Arabidopsis thaliana: one gene and its partner. The protein of the gene in region 1 interacts with the protein of each later gene in a pairwise test. Each region holds a gene or a part of one and is shown in the gene's direction. Other genes may lie near its edges. The genes, in order: AT4G28150 and AT3G56320.

Region 1 (4,623 bases):
GAAGATGAAAAACCGAAACCATGGATCCACGAACTTCTTCGTGTTCGTTGATTATCTTTTCCTCTTTATATTTTTCTGCTTTCTTTGTTATATCATCTTCAAGGTATTGGGTGTTTGAACGAACCTTCATCGATTTGGTTTTTGGTCATGGTGATCGTTTTTTCCAATTCGCTATGGATAGACAGAAACTTCAATTCCAATAGACTTTTCCAAGACATCTCTTTGTCCATTATCATCGCATTGTTTTAGAAGTTTCCAAATTTGATTTGTTAATACATCGTAGTTGTCGTTGGTTTTGTTAATGCTAAATGCTAATGCTGAGATTACTTTGAAACTTTGAGATTTTACATATCTTGACAAAATTTCAGACTTTGTAAAGAGAGTTTCTCTTTTGACTCAATCATGGCAATAATGATTCAATTGAAGAGTTTCTACATATTTCTACTCTTTTGTGACTCAATACATTTGCAGCAATGTGAGTCATTACATTTTATTTGGAAATATTATTTTTAGATAGTATGTAAGCAAAAGCTCTGGAATTTATTCAATATCCTCTTAAGTATATATAGAGAGAGATCATGAAGATATATGACTATGATGAAATGACTAGTATACTTGTTATGTGAACCAGAATTGAATACCCTTCTGCATCTAGCAAAAGCTTATTTGTTGACAGGTCATGGTTGTGGCACTGGTGGAACTTCATCTTCTCCTGAACTCGGACTGCGGGCTTTATTACTAGGAGTTCCATTTGAAGTGGCTGGGGCAACAGCAAGGGGATCTTTGTAAGGAAGGAATGGCAGCTTAGGTGTGGGAGGTAGCAAGAACCTTCCAAAACCAGGAATGAGACTAGATGGTTGAGGCACCATGTTTACAGGAAAGTCTGAATGTTTGCTCTCACTGGGAGTGGGGGAAATGGGAATGTAACGCATTCCGGTTACTTCCTCTGTACATCCAAGAATCAGGCTTACCAGAACAATTGTGGCTGTCAGATTTTGCAGAGTATAAGCCATTGTTGTGTTAGTTGAGGATAAAAGGTAAGAGCTTGAATGTGTGGTTTGTGGAGGGAAGATGGAAGAGATAGTGTGTGTAATATATAGAGTAGAGTGAAATAGTTAAAGCTAATTATGGGTACATTAAACGAACATAAACAAAGTGCTTTATTTACTAAAGAGAGAGAGCCTACAAAGTCTGGTAGCATCTATGGTATTGGCGGTGAATTATTGCATGATGATCAGTCATAACATTTGCCACACATGTCTAATTAGTAATTTTGGTTGTGATGGGCTTTTGTGCAACGAGGTCTTTGTCTTCTCTCTCACTTTTCTTTTATTATTTAAAATCCTACTTTCTTCTCATATTCAAACCGTGAATTCTGCAGGTTTATTTGGCTTCACATACAAGTAACAGAAAAACCGATGAAGAAGAAGTCAGCGAGAGACGACGGCTTCCACTTTGAAAGAGTTTGATTTCTTTTACTTTCTCTTTATTCTTTACGAAGTTGGTAAAACATATTTGACCATTTCTTGAGTTTTCTTCTCCGATCAATCTTTTGATAATGTTTTAATAATTACATTTACGTGACTAGCGGCATATTCTACAGTTGTCTGATAGAAATTTGTAAGAAATCCATAAAAGTCAAAGAGTGTTTCCGTACTTTTATTATCCCCATGTCGTCGTACTATTTGAATGTGTCAAACTTCTATAGTAGATATTTAGTTTAACTTGGATTACAACATTGCCGACTGATCCTGTCACACATGTCCTTTTATGTTAATGATTCTTTTAAACCATATGAATTATAATATGTAAACAAAAAAGTCATTGACCCAGTTTCTCTTGAAATCTTGTTATATGTGATCGACCTAGTTTCTCTTCTTTCAAGATGTATCCAAAAGAAGGAGACTTTGTATTGGGAGATGTCATCATCTAAGACTTAGGAATAATAGCTCTGTTTTGTTGTGTTGTTCACGAACTATGCAAAATGAAGATATTAAGAAGCCATAACGTTTTATACTAAACCCAAACAAACAAAACTCAATCTCATCCGACAAAGTTAGAGAAACGAAACTATATTTTATTAAATGAAAATGAAAATAAATGGAGAAGGTGGAGAGTTGTGAGAAAGACAGGTGAATCTACCAATAATCTCCTGCCTTAGAAGAATGGGTCTCATGGAGTTTGGTTGATTATATAAACCTATTTCCTTACTTTCTTTTATCTCAAAGTAGATACAATTTTACTTGTTTTTTTTCTCATTGCTCAAAACAGAGTTCCGTTGGAGTTTTCTTTAAAAAGTTTGTCCCTTTTCGTTCAATCTTTCCCTGTTTCTGACATTGCCGTGAAAGTCTCAAATGCTCGTCTAATAAAGCTAACACTTTTGTCCGAAAACTAAGCTCTTTGAAACGTCAGGGAAAGAGAATCCCGCAATACTCTCTCCTCTCTCTTTTTTTTTTTTTTCTGGGTCGAAGTTTGGTTCTTTGTTGGATAATGATGGTTTTTGACAGTGAATCTAACCTAGACCGATTCTTACGCTGCACTACACCGATTGTGCCTGCCTATTCCCTCCCAAAGGTTTACGCCTTTTTCTTTTTCTTAAAACAATTCTCTGAATTTAGGATCTGAAACTGTGTGTTTTTTGGCAGACACAGATCAAGAACCTTAATCCTCTATGGTATCCGTTGGAGAGCCAGAGCGTCGAGTATTTCAGGTTGGGAGATTTTTGGGATTGTTTCGACGAGTGGAGTGCTTACGGTGCAGGTGTCCCCATTGTATCGGAAACGGGCGAAACATTGGTCCAATACTATGTTCCTTACCTCTCTGCAATCCAGATTTTCACCTCTCATTCTGTTATCAATACTCTTAGGTAATGATCATTATGCTGCCATTTTCATAAACACAAGCATATATTCAACAATCTAACATGTCGCTGCGATGAATGATGATTTAGGGAGGAGACAGAATCAGGGGATTCAGGGAGCGAGTCGTGTAGCGAGGAGTGGAGATGGGAAGGATGTTCTTCGTCTGAAGAAGGGTTTGATCATCAAGAACCTCTCGATCGCCTCGGTTACTCTTACTTGCAGTATTTCGAGAGATGTACACCTTACTCTAGAGTCCCTCTCATGGATAAGGTTTGTTCCCCATTCTTGGAGTTTGATTCCAGAAGCACTTTCTTTCATTGTTTTATGATTCCATAAGTCTCTGTCTACTTTCAGATCAAAGAGTTGGGAGAAAGATACGTAGGGTTGAGGTCATTGAGGAGTGTTGATCTGTCTCCTGCGAGTTGGATGGCTGTTGCTTGGTCTGCCTTTTCTTCTTTTTCTTGTTTCAGAAAACAAAGTTAAGGTTAATGTAGTAAAATGGTGACGATGTTTGATTGTATGTGTAGGTATCCAATCTATCACATTCCCATGAATAGAAGCATAAAAGACTTGTCTACTTGCTTCCTCACTTACCACACGCTTTCTTCATCTTTCCAAGGTGCATTTTCACTTTCCTCTTGGAAGTGTGTATTAATGTATTAGTACATTCATTCCCCATTTCTAAAGTCCCTTGGCATTGGAACAGATGTAAAAAGGGAAGAGGAGAAGGAGAGGATAAGTGTGAGTGCATTTGGGATGGCCACTTACAAGATGCAAGGGAGGCTATGGGATAATGATAGATTGCTTTGCTTTTTGAGCGTAGCAGATTCTTGGCTAAAGCAGCTAAGGGTCCACCACCATGACTTCACCTACTTCACCACTACTACTCATTATCTTTGATATATGTAGTGTTTTAGATCATTACTTGGTTAACAGTCTATTTAGCTTTGTTGTTTAAGAGTAGCACATATCAATAATGTTGGATTGTTGTTACTTGGGACTCTTTGGGAAGGATAGGTACTGACTTTTTCTTCACAAGACTTTTATATCATAAATTTAGTTTGGGGTCAGATTGATGATGATGGGCTCAATACATTTATTCTTTTCTAATGTTTTGTGGCTTTCTGTTTGTACAAACGCACGTTCTCTTGATTTTGGTATCCTTCTCTTTTTAACAATTTTCTAAATTTCATAACAAAAAAGAAGAAGATATATACAGAGATATATATTGATTTACATAAAAGATTATCACAAAAATCTCTAGAACTTTCTACATGATATTTAGATATATTTATGTTACAATTATCTCAAATTTAGTTTCTTAGCCTCTAATATAATATTCTGATATTATGTACTTACTAGGAATTATTTATGGTGTTTTAGATTGTTTCTGAAGATACCTCTTAAAATTGGATCATGTTTTAGGCTTCTTTCGACTTTTGTCCAAATTTGATAAATTGGATCATTGGCCCAAAATAAAGTTGGTTCGTCTTTTTTATGCTCACCCCTAACTAAAATTACACCAAAAAAACTATACTGTTTCTAAACATTATCACATTATAGTATTATACACAACAATATTAACTCATAAAATAAAAAGAATAAATGTGTGCCTTAATATTCACGAATTTTCTTAAGAATAATACTCTTATAGAGATTTTAGTAGATTTTCTTCTGCACCCATCTTCTTTTTTGCCACTAGAAAAAGTTACATAAAAACTGTAAGTTGATAAATAAATAAAACTGTAAATTCCAACAATTA
Region 2 (6,692 bases), on another chromosome or scaffold:
GAAGCTTCGCTCGTTCTTAAGCGATGCTAAGTACTTGTATCTCCCTACTTAGCATAAAGCAACAAATAATATAGTCGAGTGTTGGGTATGATTGCTTTGTAAAGTATAATCAGAGGCTTAAAAAAATCTCTAAACTTGATTATAACAAAAAGTTAACTATGCAAATTTTCCTTGGCAATCCTAACAAAATGGGACATGGGACAATCTGTTTTAAGAGCATTGGGAATAATGTGAGATCTGCTAGCAGCGTAACCCTCCTGCAAAAATCCAAGGAGCAGAGCTTTTTAACTTTGTACCTTCAGATCAGTTTCTTCAGAGATCAAAGCTGTGAGAATCTAACTACTATTTACCTTAACTAGTGCACTCATCATCTTCTTCAACGGAGGTGAGTTCATCTTCGCACGGCTCGCCATCTAATCACGAAAACAAATCTTTTATCATGTAATGTGAATGAAATGCGTCTATCTTATCAATGAAATTAAAATCATGGTTTTAGAGGACCTCATCCATTTTTGTGTATCCAGGTGGTAGTCTGGGATCACTTTCTTCAATCATTATACTGAGAAGCTTGTCCAGATCCATGCCAGTGCCTTCACTGACCCATCCCCATTCCTTTGCCAATTCCAGCATTTCCGTAACATAGGATGCATCATGAAGCGGTCCGAGCCACATTGGTCCTGACACAACCAGTGAAGAAGAAGCCTTTGTATCACTGCAGGGACATCCCATCAAACCAAGTTCATCGAATCTCAATGTATGAGAATGGCCACATAGATTACAGTGCGTGACAAAACCATAGTTCCTACAGTTAAAAGACACAAAACAACTCCAATTAGAAACGCAACATAACCAAAACTCAATTCCTTTCGAGTCAAATTCTAAATGTAGAAACAACCTGTCCTCATGTAGCTTCCCACGGTGAACCCTCAGCATGACTCTAAACACAGGTCCGTGATAAGAATAGTACGAGAAAAGAGGCGTAACATGATAACCAAGCAGAGCAGCTTCTCTCACTGCTCCACCTATAAGCATCCGCAGCCCAATCTCATTCCCAAACGGCATTGGTCGAATAAATGCTCCATAAGCTGCTAAAGAACTACACCAAAACAAACCAAGAAATTTTTCAACTTTCAATCTCCTAGTCCCTAAATCATATCATGATTCCTAAAATACCACAAAGACTAATGGTATTGCTTTCACTCACTTATAAGGTCTGTGACCACCAGAAGAGTAACCATCAGTCGACGTCAAGTAAAGCAAACCACCCAATCTCAATGCATTAAACGCATCTCTCAAAAACGAAGAATCACTTCCAAACGAATCAATATCAATCATATCGAAGAAATCCGCAACCATATATCTCTCAATCATCGCTTTATTAGCCAACATATGAGTCACAACCCATCTCCTCTCATCTCCAGTACCTCTCTCTACTTTACTCAAATTATCCGTAATCACTCTCCGATTATCATCATTTGCGTCGTTCGCCATCACGAAATCAGCTTCAGCTTCCACAAGATAACGAAGCGACCTAATTCCACATCCGCACATTGCGTCGAGTACCCGTAAGCTTCCATTAGATCTCTTGTATAGCGTCGCTGACAAAACACCGAGGTCTCGTCCTCTAGCGCTTTCATGGCGGAAAAATGTCTCTCCCGTTTCAAATTCGAGATTCCTCTCAATTTGAACCTCGGATTTCACTAAAATTCGATCAAAACTACATTTCAAGCTCTTGAATCGACATGAATCTGGAGATTTACATTTAGGGTTTTGCGATTTGTGCACAGTGAAGAAGGAAGAAGAAGATAGGGTTTTAGGAGAGAGAGTCAACAACATAGCGGGAAAAAAAAAATCTGATTGTTTTGCTTGATTTTTTTTTTTAATCGTCTATCTAAATTAGTCCGTCCGATATTATGCCACGTGTACGGAAGAGATAAAAACCTCGTATTAGTAGGCCACGTCGTCAATCTTATGATTAGTTGGGTCCCACTTGTGTAATCGTCTATACTCGAGTCCACCTAAAGATACGATACACTTTTTTCCCTTTCATGGAATTGAGTTTCTACTGTTTCTGGAATTCTGGGTTTTGGAATTTGGAGAAATTAGGGTTTTTGTTGAATCATTCAAAAACATTGACCATGAAGATCATAGAGACTAAGAGTCTCCAACAAGAATGAAGAAAATCTATTTTTTTTCTTGGGTTGAAAATTATTTGAGAGGAGCAGGTGAAGTTAATTTTTTTCTCATTGATACAAAAATGGCAGATTGTTTTAGAGTCTCCACTATTATGAACCTTCCATAATTTTTTATTTTATTTTTGCTTATATTATCCCTTAATTTTTTGTCTTGGTGATAATTCTCTTTCTCCCCTCAATTAAAAAAAAGTTTATAGTATCGGTTTCTCTTCTCCTGATCAATGAATACAAATCGGTATTCGTAAACAATCCCTTCCGTTTCATTTTACTGACTCATATCTGTTTTTATCTGGGTTTTTATTTCTTTTCCCCTTTGTGTTTCAAAAAAGTTTTTGGTGTAACGTTTATTATCCATAAGATCCAAAAAAAACTAAAGCTGGAAATTTTGTTTCGAGGTGAGATAATCTTTGCTTAATCTTTAGGAATCCAATGAATACAAGCTTAATTTGCCTCTTAATCCTCGTTATCGGAGAAAGCAAAATGATGTTTCGTGTGAATCTCGTTTTTTGATTTTTGGGGTTTTCTCTTTTGTCTTAATCCATCTTCGTGGTCCTTGTGAAGCTTAAAGATGAAAACCAAAATGTCATATTTTTTTTCGTGTGAAAATGTCGATTCGTTACAAATCTTAAACCCTGTTCCAAGTTTTGATTTTTTTTGTTTGTTTGTTAGCAGGAATTAAAGCTTCTTGAATATTCAAAGATTAGCCCAAAGAATCTCTGGACAACTGGTCTAAAACCGCAGGTACGCCTTTCACTACTTAAACCTCTCAATTTTGTCAACAAAAAAAAATGATTTTGGAAGAGACAGAGCTGAGACTTCTGAGCTAATAGTCATTTTTTCCTAAGGTATAATCATCACTCACGCAGGATAGTTTAGCTGTTTTGTTTTGTTTTCCTTTATAAATATTCGATTTTGCTCTGAGAAGCTAAACATTAGGGTACCTACCTAACACTGAATTCACTATTGGCATGCTCTGTTTCATTTTTTTATGTCTCTTGCTTAGGATGTAATCTCACTCACTCTCTGGATTAGCCTCGATTGTTCTTAATCAAATTTGGGAGCTCTAGTTATTAGACAATCAACTTTTACCTTGACTTCATTTTTTTCTTTTTCTCTGTCTAATGTGATGACAAAAAGGCCAATTTGAAATATTTTGTAATTCTGTTTGTTCTGTTGTTTGTAGATATCATAATTATATAAGGGGCTCATTGAGTTGTTGAGGATTCCTGTGTTATCACTCTGATGTTAGTTTGAAGTTATGCGCACATGGGTGAAATTCAAGAAAGATTGTCAGTTTCATCATCTTCGTCTTCTTCATCATCCTCATTGTCACTATCAACGGCACTACCTAAAGGAGATTCATTGCCGATAGATGCAGATTCTTGGATGATTGCAGAGGAGAGAGCTCATGAGATACTTTGCACTATCCAACCTGCCCTTGTTTCAGACAGAAGTAGGAATGAGATCATTGATTATGTACGAACTCTTATCATGAGTCATGAGGGAATTGAGGTTAGAAACTCCGCTTCTCTTTGCTGACATGTTAAAGATTTATGCTGTTTTGTTAACTTTCTATGGGAACTTGTTTATCTACAGGTCTTTTCATTTGGTTCAGTGCCACTAAAAACCTATCTCCCGGACGGGGATATCGATCTGACTGTCCTAACTAAGCAAAATATGGATGACGATTTTTATGGACAATTGTGCAGTAGGCTTCAGAATGAAGAAAGAGAATCTGAATTCCATGCAACAGATGTTCAGTTTATCCCTGCACAGGTCTCTTTGTTTATTTACTTTTTGGTTTCGTTTTTGTATTTTCTTGGTTGCCCAAATTTTCCTTAAGAAAGTTTGCTGATATATGATAGGTCAAGGTCATAAAATGCAATATCAGGAACATTGCTGTTGATATCTCTTTTAATCAAACGGCAGGTCTCTGTGCTTTATGTTTTCTGGAGCAGGTACTATCAGCTATTCAAAATCAGGCTCCAGAGGTTTACTAAACAGATTATTGCCTAGCTTTGATTCTTAGTTGTTGGTTAAACTCTGGTTTTATGTATTCTCAGGTTGACCAACTCTTTGGGAGAGATCATCTTTTCAAGCGTAGCATCATCCTTGTCAAAGCTTGGTGCTATTACGAGAGTCGAATTCTTGGTGCTAACACTGGATTGATCTCAACATATGCATTGGCAGTACTAGTTTTGTACATCATCAACCTGTTTCATTCATCTTTATCTGGCCCTTTAGCGGTAATCACTCTTTTTCTGAACCTTCAGCATCCTCTACATATATGCAAAAGATGAGAATATAGCATTGTCTTTCAACAGGTTCTGTATAAGTTCTTGGATTACTATGGTTCATTTGATTGGAACAACTACTGTATCAGTGTCAATGGTCCTGTGCCAATATCGTCCCTTCCAGAACTTACAGGTAAGGATGATGCCAAAAATCACAGATACTTCTCTTCGTGGCATTTTCTTGGCGCTATTTGACGTTTTAATTTGGTTCTTTCTCTTTCTATCTTTCCAGCAGCATCTCCAGAAAATGGGCATGAGTTATTACTTGACGAGAAGTTTTTAAGAAACTGTGTAGAGTTATATTCTGCTCCAACTAAAGCTGTTGACTCAAATGGTCTTGAGTTTCCTATCAAACATCTCAACATAGTTGATCCTCTAAAATACAGCAACAACCTCGGCAAAAGTGTTACACAAGGTACTCTATTGATAAAAGTTATACAACCAATATAGCAGTTGTCAAATATTAATTATTTTAAAAACATTTTGTTAGGAAATGTCCAACGAATAAGACATGCTTTTACACTTGGAGCTCGAAAGCTAAGAGATGTTCTTTCACTACCTGGTGACACCATGGGATGGAGATTGGAGAAGTTCTTTCGTAACTCTTTGGAGAGAAATGGTAAGGGACAAAGGCAAGATGTGAATGATCCCGTTACTGCTTTCGGTACTGGAAGATCAGAATTATCTGAACTTAGTGGAGATTTCGATAGTTCCTTTGGAAGACTTGTGTATGGGCAAATGTATCATGGGCATAGCTTACCTGGAACATTTCAGCATGGCTATATCCCGGTTAGTTCTCACCTGAGTGGTTGGGATATTGTTCGTCACCTTGTGACTTACCGAAAGAACGAGTTCCATCTTAGAAGTCTCAATGTATCAACCTCTATGCAGCCTTTTCCTTTGCATTCTTTACCTAATGGCTGTCAAAACATGAGAAAGACGAGAGGAACCGGCACTTATATTCCTGACATGGTATGCGATTAACCCCTTTGACGGACATTTTGGCTTAAAAATTAACTTATTGCTGCAAGCTTCTGAATTGCTTCTCAATGGTTGTTGCAGAGTCAACAGGTATACTCTGACAGGTTCAGAGAATCAGGTACTGGAACCTCATCAACGAATCATTTAGAAGCTTCCTCTGAGGCAATAGACAATGATGGAGCCAGTAGTTGCTGCAATCTTTCCGGTGAAGTGTCTACTTCTTGTACCAGTAACAAAGGAGAAGAATGTGTGAGACCAGAGAGTGTGCTGAAATCTCAAAGATCTGCGAATTTGGAGCTTGATGACAATTGCCAATTTCCACCACCAGAAAACCTAGTAGAACCTAGAACTTCAAGCACATTGGTATTGGAAAATGGCAAAGAAGAGAGTATCAGATCCTCCCAAACCATGAACGGCTCTTGACTTTTAGTGACTGTGACCGAAGCTTTGGTTGTTATCTTGACACCTTCAGGATTACTAGGTTCTCTTAACCACATGGACAAACTCTATTTAGTATTCAAAACTCTATATAGGATTCAAAAGATCCATCAGGAACTTGTTTTGACCAATGTTTCATTAGAGATCTCTTCTTCATTGTTGGTAGGTCAGAATATACAAAAGTGGTATAGATTAAGAGTTGATTTGGCATTTGTCTTTTCTTTGGAATCAAGATCCTTCAGACTTTTTATCTAAATTTTTATATGAGATTCAGTTTTACTTCTTGTCACTTCTGGCAATTTGTTTAGAGAGTGACAAACATTTAAAGTTGTCCGGGTAACAACAGGTTTCACGTTTTACAAGATACACGAGTATACAGAAACACAAAGGCAATCTCTGTTCTTTGGGATTTGAATGCCTCACAATAAAGAACTATACATCAGAGTGTGATACTGTCTGGGGAGTGAGAACGTACATATGACAGTCGTGTGCGTCAACTTGAGCTTCAAAGGAGCCAGAAGTATTCTCTGTTACATCTTTGTGCTGCCACAAATCTCTTACTGAAACGCTAATGGTAGATTCAAGACCGATCATATCCCATGATGCTGTAATAGTTGCTGGCTCAGAGCAACGGTTCCAGAGAGCAACTACCATACGGTCACCAGATAAAGGTCCTGACCACACCTGCAATGAAACAGTTATCACCAATTTGAGTCCTTGAGTTTGTTTTTTCTGCTTTCTCTATGAGTTTGATAATTCTGTGACTCCCAATTCATACCTGCTG

Evidence for each region.
Region 2: the proteins of AT4G28150 (region 1) and AT3G56320 interact in a two-hybrid assay, tested with the Arabidopsis thaliana proteins (one large-scale study listed by BioGRID).

Annotation. Positions count from the first base shown.
Region 1 is NC_003075.7:13,976,780-13,981,402, reverse strand, and holds AT4G28150 (hypothetical protein (DUF789)), read left to right. Parts: upstream 1-1,915; 5' UTR 1,916-2,490; coding exon 2,491-2,574; intron 2,575-2,645; coding exon 2,646-2,866; intron 2,867-2,950; coding exon 2,951-3,131; intron 3,132-3,215; coding exon 3,216-3,301; coding exon of another isoform or gene 3,302-3,344; exon of another isoform or gene 3,345-3,388; coding exon 3,389-3,480; intron 3,481-3,567; coding exon 3,568-3,761; 3' UTR 3,762-4,100; downstream 4,101-4,623. Other genes in the region: AT4G28160 (hydroxyproline-rich glycoprotein family protein), read right to left, coding at 678-1,013.
Region 2 is NC_003074.8:20,885,394-20,892,085, reverse strand, and holds AT3G56320 (PAP/OAS1 substrate-binding domain superfamily), read left to right. Parts: upstream 1-2,282; 5' UTR 2,283-2,590; intron 2,591-2,783; exon of another isoform or gene 2,784-2,867; 5' UTR 2,868-2,936; exon of another isoform or gene 2,937-3,132; intron 3,133-3,378; 5' UTR 3,379-3,461; coding exon 3,462-3,707; intron 3,708-3,791; coding exon 3,792-3,971; intron 3,972-4,060; coding exon 4,061-4,153; intron 4,154-4,258; coding exon 4,259-4,441; intron 4,442-4,519; coding exon 4,520-4,622; intron 4,623-4,721; coding exon 4,722-4,904; intron 4,905-4,979; coding exon 4,980-5,461; intron 5,462-5,551; coding exon 5,552-5,893; 3' UTR 5,894-6,192; downstream 6,193-6,692. Other genes in the region: AT3G56330 (N2,N2-dimethylguanosine tRNA methyltransferase), read right to left, coding at 153-257, 351-413, 502-802, 896-1,096, 1,205-1,836; AT3G56310 (Melibiase family protein), read right to left, coding at 6,341-6,592, 6,687-6,692.